2 linked regions of the Cricetulus griseus genome follow. The protein of the gene in region 2 binds, or shares a complex with, the protein of the main gene of each other region. Links are inferred from orthologs where the notes say so. Each region holds a gene or a part of one and is shown on either strand. Other genes may lie near its edges. The genes, in order: Map3k20 and Pkn1.

Region 1 (10,097 bases), on a different chromosome or scaffold from region 2:
AACAAAATAGTGCCACACCAACCACACAAAATACCCCAGTCAGGACTTCACCATAATTCTAAATTTTCTCAGGATCTCCATAAGATTACCAGTTCCCCCAATCAGCAGGAAGTAGTATAGAAAACTACAACCAAATTCCCCAAATATTATTTATGAATGCTATTTTCATTTTATGGGGGTTGGTTATAAATGACTAATGATCACGGTAAATCTCTTTCTAAAGAAAAAAAAGGGGATGTAATATAGACATTATGAAAAAAAGGTAGCTTATTGAATCTATTTTAAATCTACTTTAATTCAAAAACTAATCATTAATCTCAAAACATTTTACACTGGTGTAGATTTTGGTTTATTGACACAAATTTAAGGTCAATTTTGTTATACTGTATATATATTTCTACTCTTGGTTAAGGTATTATGTTTATGCAGCTCATTTAAAAATATAATGAATAGTTAAGAAATACAAATTAATAGTCATCTATAAGAGTCAAACTTAAAGTCATGTTAGTTAGTTGGAAATCCAAGCAGAGATACAGAAAGAAGGCAGAGTTGACAGAGATGCCAGAAGCTGCCAGAGGAGTAAGATGTCAGAATGTTACCAGTAAGCCACGGGCCACGTGGCAATACACAGACTAATAGAAATGCATTAATTTAAATGTAAGAGTTAGCCAATAATAAGCCTGAGCCATTGGCCAAACAATTATAATTAATATTAAGCCTCTGAGTGATTATTTTATAAGCAGCTTTGAGACTGGGCAGGATGCAAAAAAGCCTCAAGCCACAGGCCTCTTGTTCCCATCATGCTCTTTGCTTCCTGGTCTACCATGATGTCTGCAGCCTCTACCACAAGGTCCCTGTTAAGAACTGAACTGCTGTACATGCCTTTCCCCGACACAGCTGACTAAAAGCCTCCAAAACCATGGTCTAAAATGCATTTGTCTTCCCTTAAGTAATTTCTGCCAGGCATTTTGTTATAGTAAAGCAAAGATGATTAACACCACTTTTAGGGTATTGTTACTCAATAGTCCTCCTCAAAGGCAAAGAGAAAAAGTTGTGACTATTTTCATGAAAGGAATCACTGTCACACATTATTCTCCAGTGGCTCCTGTTGGACCATCCTTCTCATTTACATGTGAAAGAAAAGGTAACATCCAGCAGAGTTTGGGGAGGATTTCAGAATAACAGTGTCTCATGAAGTTTTTATTCTAGTCATGAGGGGCTTGCAGAGGTAGGTTTATGAGAACCCAGTTAACTGGGGTTTTGAGGAAGTCTTTTTTTTTTTTTTTAATGGGTTCTACTTTTAAGTGTTAAGGTAATTAAGACTTCTCATATAAACTATAATTTCCACTCAAAGCACAGTTCTGAAGTAATGTTTTGTTATTTAGGGTATAGAGTGACATAATGGGGTACTGTAGAACTGGAGAGTAATCTATTCGGTGACTGTTTCATTTCATTTTAGAGGTGGCTTAAATGAGTTAGCACATATACAATGAAAACAAAAAGCAAGCCATGAGTTTTGGCTCTATCTGTTGTCACATCATCCCAGGCTAGTCACACACTTTGTCTTGTTTTATTTGTTTCTCAATCAAAGATGACATCATTGTGTCTCGTGCATCTGACATAAATGCCAGGGGACTGGTGAGATGACATTCAGAAAATAGTTAAGATTTCCAGAAAGTCTCTGAAGACAGGTTTTATTCATTTTATTCAGGTAACTATTTTATAGTGGCCCATCAGCCTCTTCAAGCTCCAGTTCAAAACTTAGGCCTTCCCCCAAGTGTTTCCTGATCACCCCCACATCAGTTACTTCCTTATGTTTTCGGCACCTTGGCATGGCACCAGCACAATAGGGTTTCCTTTTGATCTGTTACTTTATAACACCATCTATGCAGCCGCTCAGTTAGAAACCTTTGTCCCAGCTGGCTCCTCTCTCTTCCTCTCTCTCACTCCATCTCCAGTGAGTGTTAAGTCTCATCAGTTCCATCTCAGGCGGCTGGGGCTCATAGCACTGCCCCAGTTGGTCCTCATCACTTTAGATTTTTGGTTTTGGGGTTTTTGTTTGTTTGTTTGTTTGAGACAGGGTTTCTGTGTGTGTAGCCCTGGCTGTCCTAGAACTCCTCTGTAGACCAGGTTGGCCTCAAACTCTCATCGATCCCCCTGCCCTGCTTTCCTCATGCTTGCGGTTACAGGCATGTGCCAACACTGCCTAGCTGTCCTCATCACTTTTAACTTGCTTCTCCACTTTGTCTCCATTCCAATCTTGGTGTGGTTTTATTCTTATTTTCCTCAAGAGCCAGGAGCCAGAGAACGGAATGAGCCATCCCCAAAACTCCCACTGCCTGTGTTTTGCTATGTGTGACCTTGAAAGTTTGAATGGTCTCCCCCAGTATTTTTTTACTGATGGAAACTGACATTTCTTAGATTGGATTCCAAAGGAAGTTGGCTGCCTGTCAGCTAGGTTCTGCTTTATGATGCCTTCAGTCTACACTTTTATTCTGAATCATGTTACCAGGTGGTAGGGACTGTACAAAACCACTGAGTTACAGGTTGAAAATACCCAAATGATTTGAAACATGTTACCTGTGGGCCAGTTCCTGGCTTCAAGTGAAAACCAAAAACAAGTTCAAGGTTCACAATTTTTTCCTCATTTTCTTCAGGTTCCCCTCCTGAATCCTAAAATAGAAAAGCAGATATTATTATTAGAGATCGGTTTTCACTTTGATTTCTCATGTAAAGCAGGTACTTTTTACTTTTTTTCTTTCTTCTTACCTCTGCCACAGGAAAGAGCCCACCAGGCCCCGACTGCTCAGCCCACACTTCCTGGTTAGCCCCGCTCCTGGTTCTGACTGTTAAGGGGTCCCTAGTCCCCAAACCCCTGCCTATACTTCTGTAGTTCCCCTAGCTCCTGGTGCTAACAGGTTTTTCCATTCTAATCTTTTATTGAACTTCTATTATTAAAGTAAGATACAATTTGTAACTACTGACCGAGAGCAGGAGAAGTGACACAGCTTTGAGGACTTTGCTGAATGGTTTCTCTTATGCTTTTCCGAGCAGTGTCACTGGCGTGGCTTTCTGGGTGCATCTGGCACTATGCACTTCATTCTAGAAGCACAGTTTGCACTGGATGCATGGTAAGATTGCAGACTGAGAGCTTCAGAGTAACAGTTTGCACTGGATGCATGGTAAGATTGCAGACTGAGAGCTTCAGAGTATTCAAGGTGTTTATACACTCTTTCCTGAGAGGAAATCTGCAGCTTCTTCAGTCTATGTGGACTGAGAGACCCAAGCCACAGCTCTAGGTATTAACTACAAGCATTTGCTAATTTTTATAATGAAGTGTGTCATGTATCCTTAGACCATATTCACAGCTGTAAGTTAAGTACAGTAGTCCCTCTTTATTCATGGTTTTGTTTCCCATGGTTTCAGTTACCTACAGTCAGCTCTGGTCCAAAACTGTTAAATAAAAGTTGTAGAAGTAAACAGTTCACAAATTTTAGGATAGCTTTTTAATAAGTAAACTGTTATACTTGTTTTATTACTGGCTGTTGTTAATCTCTCACTGTGCCCAGTTTATAATATTAAACTCTGTCACAGGCATGTTTGCACAGGAAAAGGCAGTATACATAGGGTTTGGTGCTAATCTCAGTTTCAGGCATCTGCAGGGGGTGCTGGGATGTATTCCCATGGACAAGGAGGGGCACTGCTATTTAGTGTTCTATTTAAATAACACTCCCTACCCCTCCACCCCGAGGGAAAGTGGCAACCCAGAGCTCTGGTGTGTGGCTTTTTTTTTAGTAACTTAAAGGCCTCTAGAACCAGGCATGAGGCCAGAGGCCTTCACCTACAATCTTAGTGGGGGGTACTATTCTTATCTTGAATGTGTTGTTAATATTTCAAAGCGTGGGGAACAAATGTGTGTAATTTATACAGATCACAGTCGTCAAAGGGTCTTTTGTTGGACAGAAGTAATTACATTTCACTTCAAACAACAGTCCCAGACATTAGCGAAGTCGGGTGTGGATGTGGCAGGTGCGTATGCCAATAAAAGCAGCGAGCCGTCAGTGAGGAAACCTCACTCACCTTAATTAGTGGTGGGAAGTGAAACAGGTTCAGGTAATCGTGGGCCAGCTTCTCGATAGCTGACTGTAAGGAGAAAAATCACGTGACTTTATTAATGCTTTGATGATACCAAAGATGATTAAAATTACTGAGCATACAAAATAAAGGACTTTATGTAGTTTATAGAACATCTTGGGGGATGTTAACCTCTATCAGTGGTTAAGCATATGTAGACATGGTAGTTGGCCATCACTGAAAGGACAGGAGACTAGAGACAGATGGTAAAGCTCCACCCATCTATTTCCTGACCCCATCGGTAAGGCCTGTTAGGCCCCTATTAGTGTGCTTGGGCCACACTAATAGTCAACTCAGCTCCCGGATGCAACTATGAAGGGTTTCCTGGCCCTGAAGTCCCTGCCCACAGTTCTCTTGGTGCCAGTAGGTAAGCAGTCTCCAGACCACCAGACCTGAGGCCACACTCCTACTTAACCAACTAATCCCAAATGGGCAAAGTTCCAGGCTCCTTCAGGACTTCTCATGAATGTCTGGCCCCTCCAGCTGTAAGTGGGCTAAGCGGCCTCGGCTAGTCCTGGGTGTGGTAACCGCTCTCTAGGTGTGACCTTACCTTAGTTGCAGTCCTCGGGCCCACTGAGCTTCCTCCTGCCCCAGGCCTTTCCTCTGGCAATGCTTCTCCCTCACATGACTCCTCCTCCAGTGCAATGCCATCACCTGCCTAATGTCCCTTCCAGAAGCCTGCCCTTAGCCCAGCCCTGTCTCCTCTGTGGCATCTCTCAGAGGTGTCATTGCACACCATTTTCCCCCTAGACTAGAGGCTTCCTGGCAATACAGAGGTGTTACACCATTGTATCCAGGTAACCGCTGTGGGATTTTAAGGTGGGAACAGGGCAGTGCAGGTGTGGCAACTAGTTAGGGACAAGCCTGGAGGTATTTCAGCACCGAATGTCCCATACCGTGATGCTTTCATCTCTATTTGCCCACACATGGCTCACCATACCACACATTGATTTATTGACACTCTCCCACCGGGTACCTTAAAATGGATGATGTGCCCCTTGGAGACAATGCCCATGTCTTTCAAATCTTCCTCATCCAAAAGCAGCAACCGCTTGCCTGTGATGTTGTTTTCCTTAAACAAGCTTGCATACCCACTCATCTCTACTGAAGAGTCACCTGGGAGAGAAGTGCAGAAGGCAGGAAATGAGGATAAATCATAGCCCGACAAAGTTAACTCTGTAAATACGAAGGTAATTTATTTCACTTGCCTTTTCTGACGAGCTGCTGAACCCAAAAATACTGCGAAGAGAGGACACACATGGTTCGGGAGGGTCACATACAGGCAGTAGCCATTCTCAACAAGAAAACAGTTTCCAATAGATTCAGATGTCTTTAACTTAGCCACAAGGGAGAGATGAAAGAGTTCTCTTTGGAGTTTAAAGCCTCAAGCTCTCAAATTGGAGATATTCTTCCCGTAGGGGGCATTGGGCAGTTGAGAGACTTCCTTGAGCGAAAGTGTACATCTTTCCTAGAGGAGCTCCTATAGTGACTTTTCCATTATACATGCAGGTAGACTGCTACCATACTTATTTCAGGAACTGCACGAGTAACAAGGACCACCCAGAAGTGGACATAGAGATGGACAGGATGACGACTCCCATTAGCTTGTTCGGCCATGGCAGCCATTTGGGGGCCATGCAAAAGATGGTACTTTCTGTGTCGAGTGAGGTGGTTACACCTAGGGGTCCCTTGTCCTTGTATATATCATTTGGCACCTGTTTACCAGTGACCTAACATTACCCTGGTGAAGACACACAGAGAAGAGGCCAGACTCAGTCACTCTGGTTCCCTGGGTCCCTAGACAATGGACTTTTAGCTGAATGGCATGTGAGCCACTTAACCTTGCAGCAAAGACTAAAAATAGCTCCCAGAACTCAGTTGTTTCAAATCACTTTCCTTTCAAAGGAGATGGACCACCCTTGTAGCTGGGGAGGAAGCAATTACATACAGGGCCAGGGCTGGCAAGAGGCTCAGCTTCTAGTGTTCAAGGAAGGGGAGAAACAGGAAGCTGGCTTCTTTGCTTTGTGGGACCCACGCAGCTGCCTAAAGCAGCAAGAAACTCACTTCATAAAAAAAACAAAGGGCAGAGGGGGCACACCCCAGCCCCACACCAGGCTGACGTCTAGAACAGGTCTCCTGGAATTCCTAATCATGACTTTTCCTTGAGACTCCTTGGGGTGTCTGTCTCCCTAGGGTGGAGCACATCCTTGCTAGAACTAGCTAGCATTTCATCTTTATTTTCTTCTGCATTTAATGATGCCCTTGAGCTTATAAAATGGATCTGGACAGGCGAGGGTCCCTGAAGTCTCTCATCAGCAGTTCTCAAAATTGTTTTGCCATTAAGGAAGCAGATATGGAGAGAGAACTGGCTACCCGGGATTGCTCCTCAGGGAGTCTACCCAGAGCTGCATGGAGCCTTCCTGCAGACTTAAGTATCATGCCTCCTGGGATGTAAGATTATGGGGCATACTCTGTCCATTCCTCTCGGGGAAGGCCAGAGTAAGGAAGGCAGTTAGGCATCTTGTCAGTTAATGAGCGGGCCTGAGGTGGGAGGGGAACCTGTGCAGGGAACTCCAGCCCGTTATGGTCTCTCTCCTGTATGCTCAAGTCTACCACTGGTGTTGTAGAGAAGTTTAAGAATTGAATTTTTTTCAAGTATGTGTACTTGTCATTCTGAATCATAGCTTTTATCCTGCTATTGATATACTACTATATTCTGGAGTGTGTGTGTGTGTGTGTGTGTATACTCTCTCTCTCTCTCTCTCTCTATATATATATATATGCATATATATACATACATATATATACATATATACATATATATATGTACATGGAGTATATGTATATAGAAATTATAAAATATAGTATAGCTTTTATCTTGCCATTGGCATTACTATATTCTGGAGTATTTTCACAGCCAGTTATGAAGATGAAACCCTCATAAGATTTGAAGAGCTAATTGCTTTTGCTATTGAGTCCTTATTTTCAATCACTGTTATATTATTTAAACAAAAAGAGGAGTTTGTTAACTTCTGCTAGCTAGACCCAGCTCTAACTGCATCTCCAAACTTGTGGACAAATCTGCTGGCTTCCTATCCAGATCCATGAGGCATTAACAGAAGCAGCTTACCACATCGTCTTCAGTCCATGCACTGATCTCAAAGGAAGGCAGCAGCTGCGTGGAAGATACGAAGGAAATGAAAAAGGGAAGCAATATTATCCTAGTCTTTTTGGTTTGTCTTCTCATATCAGCTCTCCTGCTGCTCTGGCTTCCTCTGGAGGGTTAGGTTGAGAGGAAGACAGTTTCCTCAACCTTCAGAGGAGGTTCTCAGTGTCCAAGGATGCTGAGCCCTGCAGCCGATTTGTAAATGAATTCCTGGCAACAATCCATTCTACCTTACGAGCTGTTCTAAGGGGTTGGTACAACTTGATGTAGTCTTCTTTGGCATGGGGTTTGGCAGGCAGGACTGGCTATACATCTCACAGCAAGGCCTTAGAATCATGGCCTTTCTGACATTCACCAGCTACCAGAGCAGCCTAAGAATTCTCAGCCAGAAGTAGGATAATAGGATAATTTACCATCAAAAATTCCAAAACAACCATAAGTAGTCAGGTGATTTATTTTGCCTGTTCTCACAGGGGTTTCTAGGGGCTTAAACATCTCCCTTACATGGCTGACATGGGAGGATGGAACTGTCTTAAGGCATCTGGGCTCAGAGTTGCTCCAACACAGTCGGAAACATGTCAGGGACACATGTGGGATGGGGACTTGTAGAGCACTTCAGCCTATGCCAGAGAACTTTTCACATCCCATGGCTATGGGCTGAATAGCAAATACTTTCATAACTTGAAAAGGCCGGTATCCTATGGGCTACAGTGTGGTATAGCCAATAGCTTCAACCAGTTTGACTTGTGAGGATGATTATTCATGAAAGAATATGCCAAATATCACCCAGCCTCTGTTACAAACAATTTTGTGTGTGTGTGTGTGTGTGTGTGTGTGTGTGTGTGTGTGTGTGTGTGAGCAAATTGGGAAAAAGAATTTGATGGGGGGTGGATGTAATCTAAATACTTTGCATACATGCATAAAATTTTCAAAGAACAATAAAAATAAAGAAAAGACAAAAAGTTGAATTTAGTTACGTTTACTGCTAGTGTGACAATCTGATGGTGGCTAAGTTAATCTTTCCAACTTAGAGGTATTTATTGTATAACCACAAGCTTAAGGAAAGGCATAATCCCTATACAGAATTTTATTAGAACTGAGTGAAACATCTGTGGATTATATTTGGGGGAGGCCCATTTTATCATTTTTTGTTATTAATGCACTATACTTGGTACATTGGCATGTACACATGAGTATGTGTGTAGATACATGCATGTTTGAGGGCCAAAGGAAAACCTTGGGTGTAATTCCTCAGATACTCCTCACGGGCTTAGAGCTCACCAATTAGGCTGGGCTGATTGACTGGTGAGCACCAGAGACCTATCTGCCTCTCTGCCCCTGGCCACAACAGCTGGCTTTTTATGTATATTCTGGACTTGAACACAGGTCCTCATTTACGCAAAGCAAGCATTTTACCAACCAAGTTCTCTCTCTAGCCCCACCTGTGTAAATTTTATCATACTAACTTATAGAATGAATAAAATTATAGAATGAAGGATGCATTATTCAGTTGCCAAATTGTTTGGTAGTCTACTCAGTGCTGATAGGCATACAAAGACCGATGTACCACAGCATATGTCAGGGAAAGTGGCTTGAGCTGGGGATGGCAGGCCCTGGGGAAAAAGAGAAGGCAAGGAAGAACAACTAGATAGATACTGGCCACAGGAGTGGGTATGACATGCTCACTTAATTGGAGCACAGGATGAGGTGAAATTGTGTTGGAGGAAAAAGAGAAGGAAGCCAATTCTGAGTGCAGCAGAGCAGGTTTTATTATTTTAAACATGAATGTGCAGACTCTGGATACTACATATAGGTTGCAAGGACATACAGCAAAGGCTTGAGTCAGTAGTATTTTCCACATACCCTCTACACACGCACTATGAAGGAGTCACCCAGCATGCTCACTTTAATAGTGTGGACGAGGGACCCAAGGAAGCTCATCTGAAGTTGATCTCAATCAAAGAAACACATGACAAGCTTTACTTCTTCGCAGGGCAGCTGCATACAGCTGCAGAAACATGCCACCCCTTTTGTCCACCATGGATACAAACGTAAAGTAAGAGACATTGAGATACCATATAGAAGTATTGCCCTGCGTTGAGGCTGGTCTCTGCAGGATGTCAGGGCATGTGCGGATGTGATGTTGTGTATGCCCATGTATGTGTGTGTGGTGTTTTGACTTTTATATACTTTCCACATGTGCTAACGAAACTGAGGAATAAGCATTTCTTGAATAAAGAGTATAAATGAAATAAGCACACCTTCAGTTTTAATGTGGGAAGGACAGTGGAGTTCTTGCTGCGCTGTGGCCAGCTCATCAAGGTTATGCCAAAGGGAAGACCTGAGCTTTGCCTGATGCTCCCTCCAGCAGGAGTCTGCAGATGCTTGCAAAGATCAGTGAGAGGAGGGCTGGGACCAGGCGCTGCTGCAAGACGGTTTGAATTGGGCAAGACAGGGGCTAAGAGTTAATGATCTCCAGCCACACAGAGGCTCACCATCGCCTTCACGGTTTCTGTACCCTGTTAACATATCAGTGCATCTGCTGTAGAAGAGTTCTAAGCCTTTCTGTTTTCTTTGGGGATAAAAAAAAATCCCTCATGACTGCCCCATCACTTTAGTAATTCATTATTTATACTCCAACAGACTTCAGGAGAGAAAAGCTAGCACTCATGTGCATGTGTGTGACACTGATTTCTTCAAAGGATGTTAGGAATCCGGTCTAACAAAGATCTTATGTACACAGCGACACATAACAAAGGGGTTTACTGTCAAAACGTTTATTGCAAAATGGAGTCTT
Region 2 (10,596 bases):
TCCAGAAAGTCAGTGGACCCTGCCTGCTCCCAAGCTTTCTGCTCACCACTCCCGGCTGCAGGGTCAGGAAGCACCACATGTGCATGCAGCTCCTGCAGCTGCTGGTGCAGCAAGTCAAGCCGTCGAGCAGAGCCCCGCAGCAGCAGCTCCACAGGGCCCAGGCTGCGGCCCAGGTCGGTGGTGGCTCGCCTCAGGTTCTCAGCGCCCTCCTTCAGCTTCAGCTCCTTGCGGATCTCCCGCCTGAGCCGCTCTCTTTCCAGCTCCAGCCGCTGCTGCACGCCGGGGGCCGCCAGGTCAGCCCCCGCCAGGCCCATCTGCTCCAGCAGCGACCAGCTGCGAGGCTCGCTCTGCAGGGGAAGACACCAGGCACAGAGGTCAGGGGCCAGAGGACAGGTGGCCTCACCAGGGCACAGTTCACCTGACCTACCACCCTACCCTACTGCACCCTAAAATTCCAAGGACAGGGGCTGCTCCTCCTCCCTGACCCACACAAATGGTAATATCTGGGCTAGAGAGATGGTTCAGGAGGTAAAAGCTCTTGCTGCCAAGCCTGGTAACCCTGAGTTCACCCCCTAGAGATCTACATGATGGAAAAAGAAAACCAACTCCTGAATGCTGTCCTCTGATCTCCACTACACTCACACACAGAAATAAATAAATAGGCGGCTGGAGAAATGGCTCTGTTAAAAGCACGTATTGCTCTTACAGAGACTCAATTCCGTTCAAGCCTCTAGTTCTGGATCTAGGGGGACTGGATTCCTCTGGCCTCTGCAGGCACTGATGTGCATGTGTACATAACCCTAAAGACACACATGCATAATAATAATATAAATAAATAATAAATAAATAAATAAATAAATAAGCCAGGTGGTGGTGGCGCACACCCTCAATCCCACCACTCGGGAGGCAGAGGCAGGAGCATCTCTGTGAGTTCCAGACCAGCCTGGTCTACAGGCGAGTTCCAGGAAAGCCTCCAAAGCTACAGAGAAACCCTGTCTCAAAAAACCAAAACTAAATAATAAATAAATAGAAGGTCAAAGAATAGGCCAAAAACAAGGCCTCCTTCCTCCCAGTTGCACTGACCAGGCTCGCCACAGGTGGGCCCTATCTCCCTTAATTTGTGACCTATGCAATGGGATTCTGGCAGGAAGACTCCAAAAGACCCCTTTTTTCTTCCAGTTTCCTGCACTCCTAACCAGGAGGTTCCAAGGGCAAGCTACATGTTTCTTTTGCCATACTCCAAAACCAGGAGAACCTTAGAAACATATCCTGACTTCTCTGATCTGCATTCCCAAACTGGGAGATCCCAAGGGCCAGCCCTGCCTTCCTGTCTTCTCTATCTGGTACTCCAAAGACGGCGCTCATCTCCTCCCACATCTCCCAAACCAGAGAGCTGATGTGGCACCCAAAAGTTAGAGAACTAACTTGTGCCCCATCTCCTTCCTACCCTTAGTCCCCAACTGAAAGGTACCCTCAGCTTCTGTCTCTAGGGGTCTCCTTCTGCCCATCCTATGGAGACCTAGCCCCTACCTCCAGATCCAGATGCAAAGGGGAATCAGCCGCCATCTGGGTCCTGGGTCTGGTCTGAGGGCCACGCCCTCTTCCTGAACCTCAGCCCTGCCAGGGCCTCTGGACTGCCACTTCCTCTTTCCTGCCAGCTCCCAGCATCCTCTGCGCCAGGGCAGCTCTAGGGCATGGGGTTTGTTGTTGTTGTTGTTGTAGTTTTATTGGGGGTTGTTTTGTTTTCTTTTTTTCTTTCTTTTTTTTTTGAAACAGGGTCTCTCTATGTAGCCCCGGCTGTCCTAGAATTGACTATGGAGACCAGGGTGGTCTGAAACTTACAGAGATCTGCCTGCCTTTGCCTCCTGGGTTCTGGGATTAAAGGCATGTGCCATGTAAGAGGTTCTTCCCACATCACCCCCTAAATGGCCATGCTTGCTTCTCTGGAGGCAAGCCAGGGACAGGTAGCCCTTAATTCCTGGCCTGAGAGAACACCCTGGATATACACACCCACAGTTGTATGTAGCAGACAGGATCTCATGTGGTACACAGCATATGTGTGAACCAAAGATAGGCTCATAGGTACGATCACATTTCCAGTTTTGCAGGTGTGAGATTTGCTCACAGGCTCACACATGCACACACATAAGCTCATATATATGTATACCCTTGTCATAGCTAGCTTCAGCTGTCAACTTGACAAACCTATGAAGAGGGAACCTCAACTGAGGGGTTGCCTCTGTCTGACTGGCCTGTGGGCATGCCTATGAGACATTTTCTTAATTGCTAACTGATGTAGGAGATCCCAGCCCTCTGTGGGCAGTGCCATCCCTGGCAGGTGGGCCTGGCCTGTGTAAGAAAGGAGCTGAGTAAGCCAGAGGAAGTGGGCCAGTAAGCAATACTCCTCTGTGGTTTTGTTTTAAGCTCCTGTCTTGATCTCCAGCCCTGACTTCACTCCATGGAGGACTATAATTTCTAAGACCAAATAAACCCACAGACAGGTGTAAGGGTAAGCGGACAGCCATGAGTGCTAGTTTGAGCCCTCCATAAGCTTCTCTCTCTCTCTCTCTCTCTCTCTCTCTCTCTCTCTCTCTCTCTCTCTCTCTCTCTGTCATTGCCCATGTCCCCACAGCAGCCCTGAGGCCCTCAGTCATGCTACTGCCTATTCATGTCTTGTCCCTTGTCCCCAACTTCCCCTTAAGAATCAGAACAGTCAGTGCTGTAGTAGAGGGTGTGTGTGTGTGTGTGTGTGTGTGTGTGTGTGTGTGTGTGTGTGTGTGTGTGTGTATTTGTGCAGCTTCCTGTAGACAGGCAGCATCAACTTCCTGTTTCTCCCTACCCAGATGTCCACCACGGCTGATCTCAGCTTGGGAGCCTAGGGGGCCCACCTGCCTTAACAGTAGCTCCCTGAAGTTCACTCCAGGAGAAGACAGCCCTGAGTGGCCCCAAATAGGAGACCACACTTGTTTGCCAAATATACACTAAATCTGAACTATCAGTGGTACAGTTAAAACGTATCAGGGACAAGGTATATATGAAAACATTCTATTTTCCATTGGATTTTACTGTGAACCTAAAACTGCTCTAAAACAAAAACATTTTTAAAAATAGTAGGAGTGTTGTTGGACAGATGGTTCAGCAGTTAAGTGCTCACACTGCTCTTCCAAAGGACCTGAGTTCAGGTCCTAGTAGCAGTGCCTGTAACTTCAGTTCCAGGTGGATCTGATGATGGCTCTGGCTTCTTCGGGTATATGTACATACCCCCCAATATACATCATTAAAAACAATAAAATCAATAAAAGTAGTAGTAACAGCAGTGGGTGAAGTTTGGTAGAATGTACAAGCTCCGAACCTCGTAAGTAACAACAACAGCAGCTACACAATCCATCCAAGTCTCAACTAATGTCATTCCATGTTACAGGTACTACCTGTTTTGTTTTGCTTCATAGTGTTCTGTGCTAGGTCTCATGTAACACAAGGTGGCTTTGCATTCAATGCACAGCAAAGGCTGGCCTTGAACTCCTGCCCCTCTTGCTTCCTCCTTGCTAGTTCTAGAATTGTGGCGTGCACCTTCACATCTGGCACAGCATGATGCAGATGCCTCAGATACATAGACAGAAATCAAACTATCTGCAAAATGAAGAAACTGAGGCCCAGCAAGGCTTTCTGCCACGTGCCTTTGATCCCTATACCCAGCAAGAGGGGCAGGAGGATGTCTGAGTTCCAAGACAACTGGTCTACACAGTGAGACCCTAACCAAAAAAAAGAAGAAAGGAAGAAACTACCTAAGGCCCCCTTGCCCTAAGATCCCACAGCCAGCAAGAGATAGGGCCAAGCTTCCTAACACTAACTGGGAGGGATCCATGTGCACCACACCTTACCACTGTGAGCAAAGTTCTCCTAGGCTCTTAAGCCCTCCTGGAGAGTAGATAAGATTGCAGGTCAAGAGCACAGATCTATGATCCTATCATCTCCTCTCTATATATCATCCCCCCCATGGTGACTACTATTCTGAATAGTAGTCACCATGGGGGGAAACTGGGACTCAAAAAGGCCGTAACAGTGGCTCTCAGTGAAGATGGGGTTGTTTTTTCATCATCTCTAGAAATACATGTCAATGTCTGGGGTCATTCTTGGTTGTCATTACAACCAAGGTACACAAGAGACACCTGTCAAGTGGAGGCCAGTGCTGCTGCTCAGCACCCTGAGGCACACTGGACAGCCCCCGCCACAAAACGATCCAGACCCAAATACCAGTGCTGGGGCCTTGGGAAGAGGCATGGGCTCCCGGATTGGACTACCAAGCACCATGTTCACAGGTAAAGACGTCACAGAGGCCCTTAGAGCACTGGCTGAGACTCCACCTCTCTTCTCATAACCATTCATAACCCCATTCCCTCCTCCAAAACAGGAACAAGACTCAGAAAAGTAATGGCTTTCACCCAGGAGTTCATCAGGGAAGACAGCACTGGATTTAAGCCCAGCCTCACCAAACAACACTCTGGCATGACTGGGCCCCACCCACGGTCCCTCACCATCACCCTCCCCCCACCATCAGGCAAAGCAGGTACACAGCCAGGAGCAGGGCCAGTTCAAATGGGGAGCATACAGGCAAAGAGGAAAAGTGAAGGCTCTCAGCCCCACCTCCAGTAGAGGAGGCCTGAGAATGTGTAACGCATGCAAGGAAGGCCTCCTGGGTCCTCCTCCCCTGGGTGATTCACTTGCCCAGGGCCAAGGAGTCACTTAAGGGCAGCAGGGCAAATGCTTGGCCTGGTCTTGAAGAATTAGAACATCAGCTTCTCCACCTGCCATCACAGACCTGGAGACACCAAACCAAGAACTCTCATCTTGGGAAACCTTCTTGGCAAAGTAGCTAGGGATCCAGAACCCCACATCCTGAGATTTCAATGCCTGGGGCGTTCCCAGAATCTAGACAGGACATCCGTTTGCCAGACACAGAACAGACAGGCATGGAGGTAGTGAGGCAGGGCAGCAAGTCCAAGCAGGAATGAACTTAAGGGAGAAGACAGAGAGGAGACGAGATGTTGGTCCAGACTCATTCTGGGAATCACAGCCTCCATATGTGCCCTGTGTGGGACACCCCAAGCACATGCACGCTCTGGGAAAGCCCTCCACAGCCCTCTGTGGGCTTGAAGGGGAGCCAGCACCCAGTGCATCACGCCTCTCCGGAGGTCTGACCTTGTGAGATCGGCAGCACCAGATACGCCCAGCTCCTCGGCAAGGCCGGCAGGCCATCAGCAGGACTGGGGAAGAGGGGTACAGGAGGGTGCAGGGGAGACACGGGGCAGGTGCAGAAGATGAAAACCAGTTACATAGGACAATGGACTTCATGGTGAAGAACTAATGGAGTCACAAAGATACCAAGATCTCAGATTTGGGTCATTAAATTAGAGAGTGGAAAGTGATCCTGACCCTGCTTCCTCTTGGGAAGGTGAGTTCAGAAATGCCCAACAGGTAACACAGGGAAGGCCATGGGCTGGCAGATGCCAGTCACAGGTGTCTGTTGCAAGGATGCGGTTACCCAGTCCTGTCGCCTTCCAGACATAAAATCCTTCCTGCCTTTGTGACAGGACACGCCCCACCTGAGATATGGCTCCATCTGTCAGGCTGAAGGGTGACTAAGGGCGGGGGCGGGGGGGACCGGCCTCTGGCCTAATGAAGTGACTTAGGCACTTCCTCCAACAGGTGCCCATCTGGTGGCGTCAAAATCATCGTAAAGACGTCTGCGGGCGGGGGTGGCCCGGCTTTGTTGTGCGGGGGAGGGGCACGGGCCGCGCGGCAGGGCGCCAGGCACCTGCTCCAGGTAAAGCGGCACCTGCCAGAAACGGAACGCTGAGGTCCTGGGCGAGCAGGGCGTGGGGACGGAACCCGCAGCTGGCCTGGGACACCCAAGCGGCGTCCCCGTTGCGCCCGCTGACTCTCGCGGAGGGCCGGAGGAGGAGGTGCGGTGGCAGGATCGCGAACAGCACCTCTTCCTCCGAGCACCTCGACGCCCCGACCTGCTACAAGGGCCCGCGCGAACTCCCTAAGGGGACCTCGTCCCGGGCTCTCCCGGTGCCTGGGGTCCTCGTGCCGTCCGGCCGCCCCGCGGGTGCGGACCAGTCTCCTACCTGCACGGCGTCGCCGGCCATGTCCTCCGGCCGCCCGCCCGCCAGGGGTCCCAGCGCCGAGGGAGGGCTTGCGAGCGCGCGAGCGGGCGCGGCGGGAGGCGCGGCGCCCAGACCCTCCCTGGCGCGCGGCGCGCTCCGGCCTGCTTCGCTTGGCCCGGCCTGGCCAGGCCTCCGCCGAGCTGCGCCCTCCGGCCCGCGGCGCAGGACGGGTCACGTGAGCGCCGCTGTCCGCGCCCGGGGAGGAGGCGGGGCGGGGCGGATGGGGGCGGGGCTCCCGGCGGCCCCCGGGGCTTGCAGTCGGGAATGGGGGTCTCCTTTGCTGTGCGTGCGGCTCGCCCTGCGCTCCTTGTAGCGTGCTGGAACTCTCGAGAGGCCTAAGCCGTCGCGAGCTTCAGAGAGGCCTTGTCCCCGCCTCGGATCCCTCAGAAAGCAAAAGTCACGATCCATCTCCCCGCTGCCCAGCAGCACAGGCTCATCCTCCCATTTTCCCGGAGGCAAGCACTGTGAGAACAGGATTTCAAATCCCAGGTCCCCGGCCTTTGGAGACCACCTTACCCCTCAAGGCAAGGATGTCCGTAAAACTTAATGAGAAACAGTAGGCCAAGTGCAGAGACCTCAAGTTTATAAAAAGAAAAAAATGACAGCAGCTGTCACTGTTAGTGTTTTGAAGACTATTTTGATTTATGTATGTTAGAAATACGTTCGAAGTGGCCAAGAAAGAGACCACCATTCTAACTGAAATGTCTGAACAAGGCAAAATTTGCTCTTGATCAAGACAGTGCTGGGGAAAACCAAACAAGGAGACAGGAAGTACATTTGGTTTTTATTCTAACTCAGGTGACCTCACAATCTTATTCAATTGGCTAGTTTGGAAAAAAAATGGTACAGAAGGAGTGGAGGAGAAAGGGGGATGGGGTCACTTCTCCAAGCCAGCAAATTCCTAGAATGGAGCGGGGGGGGGGGCCGCGGGGGGGCAATGTATAAACAAAAGTTTTACTGGGTAGGGAAGATTAAAATATCTCCATAAAGTCTTACAAGGTAGGGGAGATAATGATTGTAATTACTGTCCAAAACATAAGTTTTATAATATTTGCTAGAAATGACTCTTATGCACTTATGTACAGGGCCTCGAGACCAGAAGAGGACATGGGATTCCCTAGAATGAAGTTATAAATGGGACTGTGAGCCATCCCACCTGGGTGCTCTGCTCCGGGCCTGACTTGTGTGTTTGTGCGTGCATGCACAAGCCAGGGCAAATGTGTGGTGGTCAATGGACAACTTGCAGGGTCAGTTCTCTTCTTCCACCCTATCGTTTTTTGGGGGGGGCCAAACTCAGGTCATCAGGCTTGGCCTTAAGTGCCTTTAACTGCTGAGCTATCTCACCAGACATGCAGTTCCTTTGCCACTATTGATAAAGGAATTTGAACCTCAGCATGGCCTCTGATGCACTGAGCCTTGTGGATCCCTGGGGGCTCTAGTTTTTGCCCTCTGTGAAGTTTTGCTGGCTTTTTCCTGGATGCAGCATTCATACGGTACTCCCATACTGTCCAAATGGACCATAGAGGCCTCTGCAGAATTTCTCTTGGGGGACCACAGTAATGCAGGTGGAGTTTATACTGTGGTAGCTGTGAGGACCTCTCACTCAGAAACCCAGTGAGAGATTCAAACTTTGGTCCTCAGGGCTCCGGGTAATACCTACAGTGGGTGCCCTCCAGGAATCAGTGCTGGCACAGGGGAACAAGAGTATATCTATGTGTCTCTGTCCTCCCAGGGACCTCTCTCTCTCTCTCTCTCTCTCTCTCTCTCTCTCTCTCTCTCTCTCTCTCTCTCTCTGGGATTTTAACCGAGAGGAGGAAAATTGAAACAATAGGGAAGCCACTCCCTTAGCATCTTGCCCAAGCCCTCAACAAGCCCAGTACACCATCACTGATCTTTCTGGACCAGAGTAGAACCCTTCTTGTCTCCCAGCCTCCTCCTAAAGTCTCTTCTCCAAGCACAGCCCAAGGGGGCCTATGAACACCTAAAGCCTAGACATTTCTAGGAGGAACCCACCAGGCCCTGTGTGATGATGCCCTTGCCTTCTCCATGTCTCTCCTCACCCCTTCAGCAAGTTAACATCCTAATTATACCTCAAATGTGTGCTGAGTGAATTAAATAGCTTGCCAAACTAATCATCTGGCTTCCTTTTTGCAGATTGATAAAAGAGAGGAACCCCTTGCCTTCATAATCAAGACATGATGTTCATGGCCCCTGCATAGTGGGCAAGGAACCCGCCCATTTCACAGTTGAGGAGGGCATGGGATTGGCAGGGGAAAACCTTGCCCAGGCCCTGCCTGCCAGGTTCTGAGCTGCCTCTGGGGATGGAGCATGGGAATCCAGCCAGGCTCTCCTTCAACCTCCCAGTGTTCATTTACTCAGTCAGTCTTTATCACTGTCTGCTAGGGATTTGGGTGCACTGGAAACAGAGCTGTACTCTAGGCTTTAAAAGGGACATAGAACTAATTGTAAAATCCCCATATAACAATGATAAAAGTCCCAGCAGATCCCTGAAGCATCCCTGGTCTCCCTCCAATCTACTCTGGGGCCAGGAAACACTAGATCCCAGACACGTTATGTCTCACCACGGTCTGTCTGGCTCTCTGTGCTGGAAAGTCTAGTTCTGTCTTTGAAGAAGTCTTAGAAAAGGTTTCTCATCCTCATTTGGCCTTCAAGGCAGTCTGTCCAGCCGCTCTGATTCCTCATCTTGCTTCCAACCACAGGGCCTTTGTACAGGCTGTTCTCTAGCTTTAAATGTCTTTCAGTCATATTTCCCCAAGGCTGGTGCCCTTTGCTCATTTATTTATTGAAATTTTTATTACATTAAAATTGTATTTAAATGTATTTTATGTTTATGTCTGTCTGGGGTAGATATATGCACATGGGTCCAGGTGCCCAGAGGCCAGAAAAGTTATCAGATTCCCTGGGACTGGAGTTCCAGGTAGTTGTGTTACTTAACTGCTGCCATCTCTCCAGTCCCAATTTATGGTACATGTTAAAATATATTTACTATCCGTGTGTGTGTGTGTGTGTGTGTGTGTGTGTGTGTGTGTGTGAGAGAGAGAGAGAGAGAGAGAGAGAGAGAGAGAGAGAGCAAGCGCACATGTGCCACCAATGGCACATAAGCAGTGCTCAAAGGATAATTCTCAGGAGTCATTCTCATCTTTTCCCATGTGGGTCCTGGGCTCAAACTCTGGTTGTCAAGCAAGATGGTGGGTGCCTTTGCCTTCTAAGCAATCTCACTGGTCTACTTTATATTTTTGGTTGTGAACCTAGCCTTTAACCGCTGAGCCATCTCTCCAGCCCATCACTGGCCTATTTTAAATATTTTTTGTTTTAATCAACTGCTTAAATGACACTATTCTGAGACCCTCACAATCCTCCCCTGTGGCTTGAGGCTGTATCTCCAGTCCTTGGCATGTTCTGACTTAATTTCAAAGCCACTGTGCTTTGGCTGTGGTGGTTAGAATAGGAATGGCCCCCATAGACTCATATATTAGAGTGTTTGGTCCCTAGTTGATAAACTGTTGGGATGGATTGGGAGGTGTGGCCTTGTTGGAGGTAGTGTGTCACTGGGGGTGGGCTCTGAGGTTCCAAAAGCCAATGCCAGGTCCAGACTTGCTCTCTCTGCACTGTGCCTATGTATGGGGATGGAAGTTCTCAGCTACTGTTCCAGCACGGTGCCTACCTGTCACCACTCCCCAACATGATGGTGACCATGGATTAATCCTCTGAAACTGTAGACAAGACCTCAGTTAAATTCTTTCTTCTATAAGTTGCCTTGGTCATGATGTCTATTCACAGCATAAAGAACAGTAACAAAGGCCTTGCTGTCTTCTTCTGTAGAATGGAGGAGTGGACACAGTGAGAGGTGGCAATGGAGCATTATCCCTATGGAGGCCTGAAGACAACCACACCATGGTGGGGGATGAACTGGACCAGGGTTCTCAGAGGAGCGTTAAAGAATGAGAAATGTGCCCGATTGATTGTAAGGAGAGCTCTACATGACGACTCTGACTGCCTATGTTTCCCAAAATTCTCCTGCTCTGGTAGTCCTGCCTATCCTTCCTGCCTGGCCACTAGCCAAACAGTGTTTTATTCATCAACCAATAAGAGAAACATATACAGAAGGACATTCCCATCACCTGATGGTTAGAAGGGAGAAGAAGCAGATGTCTGTGGATTTGAGAGGCCAGTCAAACCACCTCTTCTCAAAAAAACAAAAAGGCAGGAATTGGTGTTCCACACCTTTAATCACAGCACTTGGAGCAGAGAGGAAAGAGGATCTCTGAGTTTGAGGACAGCCTGGTACACAGAGAAAGTTCCAGAACAGCCAGAACAGTTACACAGAGAAAGTGTGTCTTTTTTTTTTTTTTTTCCTTTGAGACAGGGTTTCTCTGTGACTTTGGAGGCTGTCCTGGAACTAGTT

What was found.
Region 1: Pkn1 (region 2) and Map3k20 share a complex: the UniProt entries of both Homo sapiens proteins name them as parts of the signaling complex. The link is inferred for Cricetulus griseus from reciprocal best matches to the Homo sapiens genes PKN1 and MAP3K20.

The regions. Positions count from the first base shown.
Region 1 is NC_048599.1:102,752,111-102,762,207, forward strand, and holds part of Map3k20 (mitogen-activated protein kinase kinase kinase 20), read right to left. Parts: exon of another isoform or gene 10,062-10,097; intron 7,310-10,061; coding exon 7,265-7,309; intron 5,374-7,264; coding exon 5,343-5,373; intron 5,251-5,342; coding exon 5,111-5,250; intron 4,144-5,110; coding exon 4,081-4,143; intron 2,674-4,080; coding exon 2,581-2,673; intron 1-2,580. UniProt on the Homo sapiens protein: Stress-activated component of a protein kinase signal transduction cascade that promotes programmed cell death in response to various stress, such as ribosomal stress, osmotic shock and ionizing radiation.
Region 2 is NC_048596.1:160,713,731-160,724,326, reverse strand, and holds the start of Pkn1 (serine/threonine-protein kinase N1), read right to left. Parts: upstream 6,329-10,596; 5' UTR 6,153-6,328; coding exon 6,132-6,152; intron 348-6,131; coding exon 47-347; intron 1-46. UniProt on the Homo sapiens protein: PKC-related serine/threonine-protein kinase involved in various processes such as regulation of the intermediate filaments of the actin cytoskeleton, cell migration, tumor cell invasion and transcription regulation.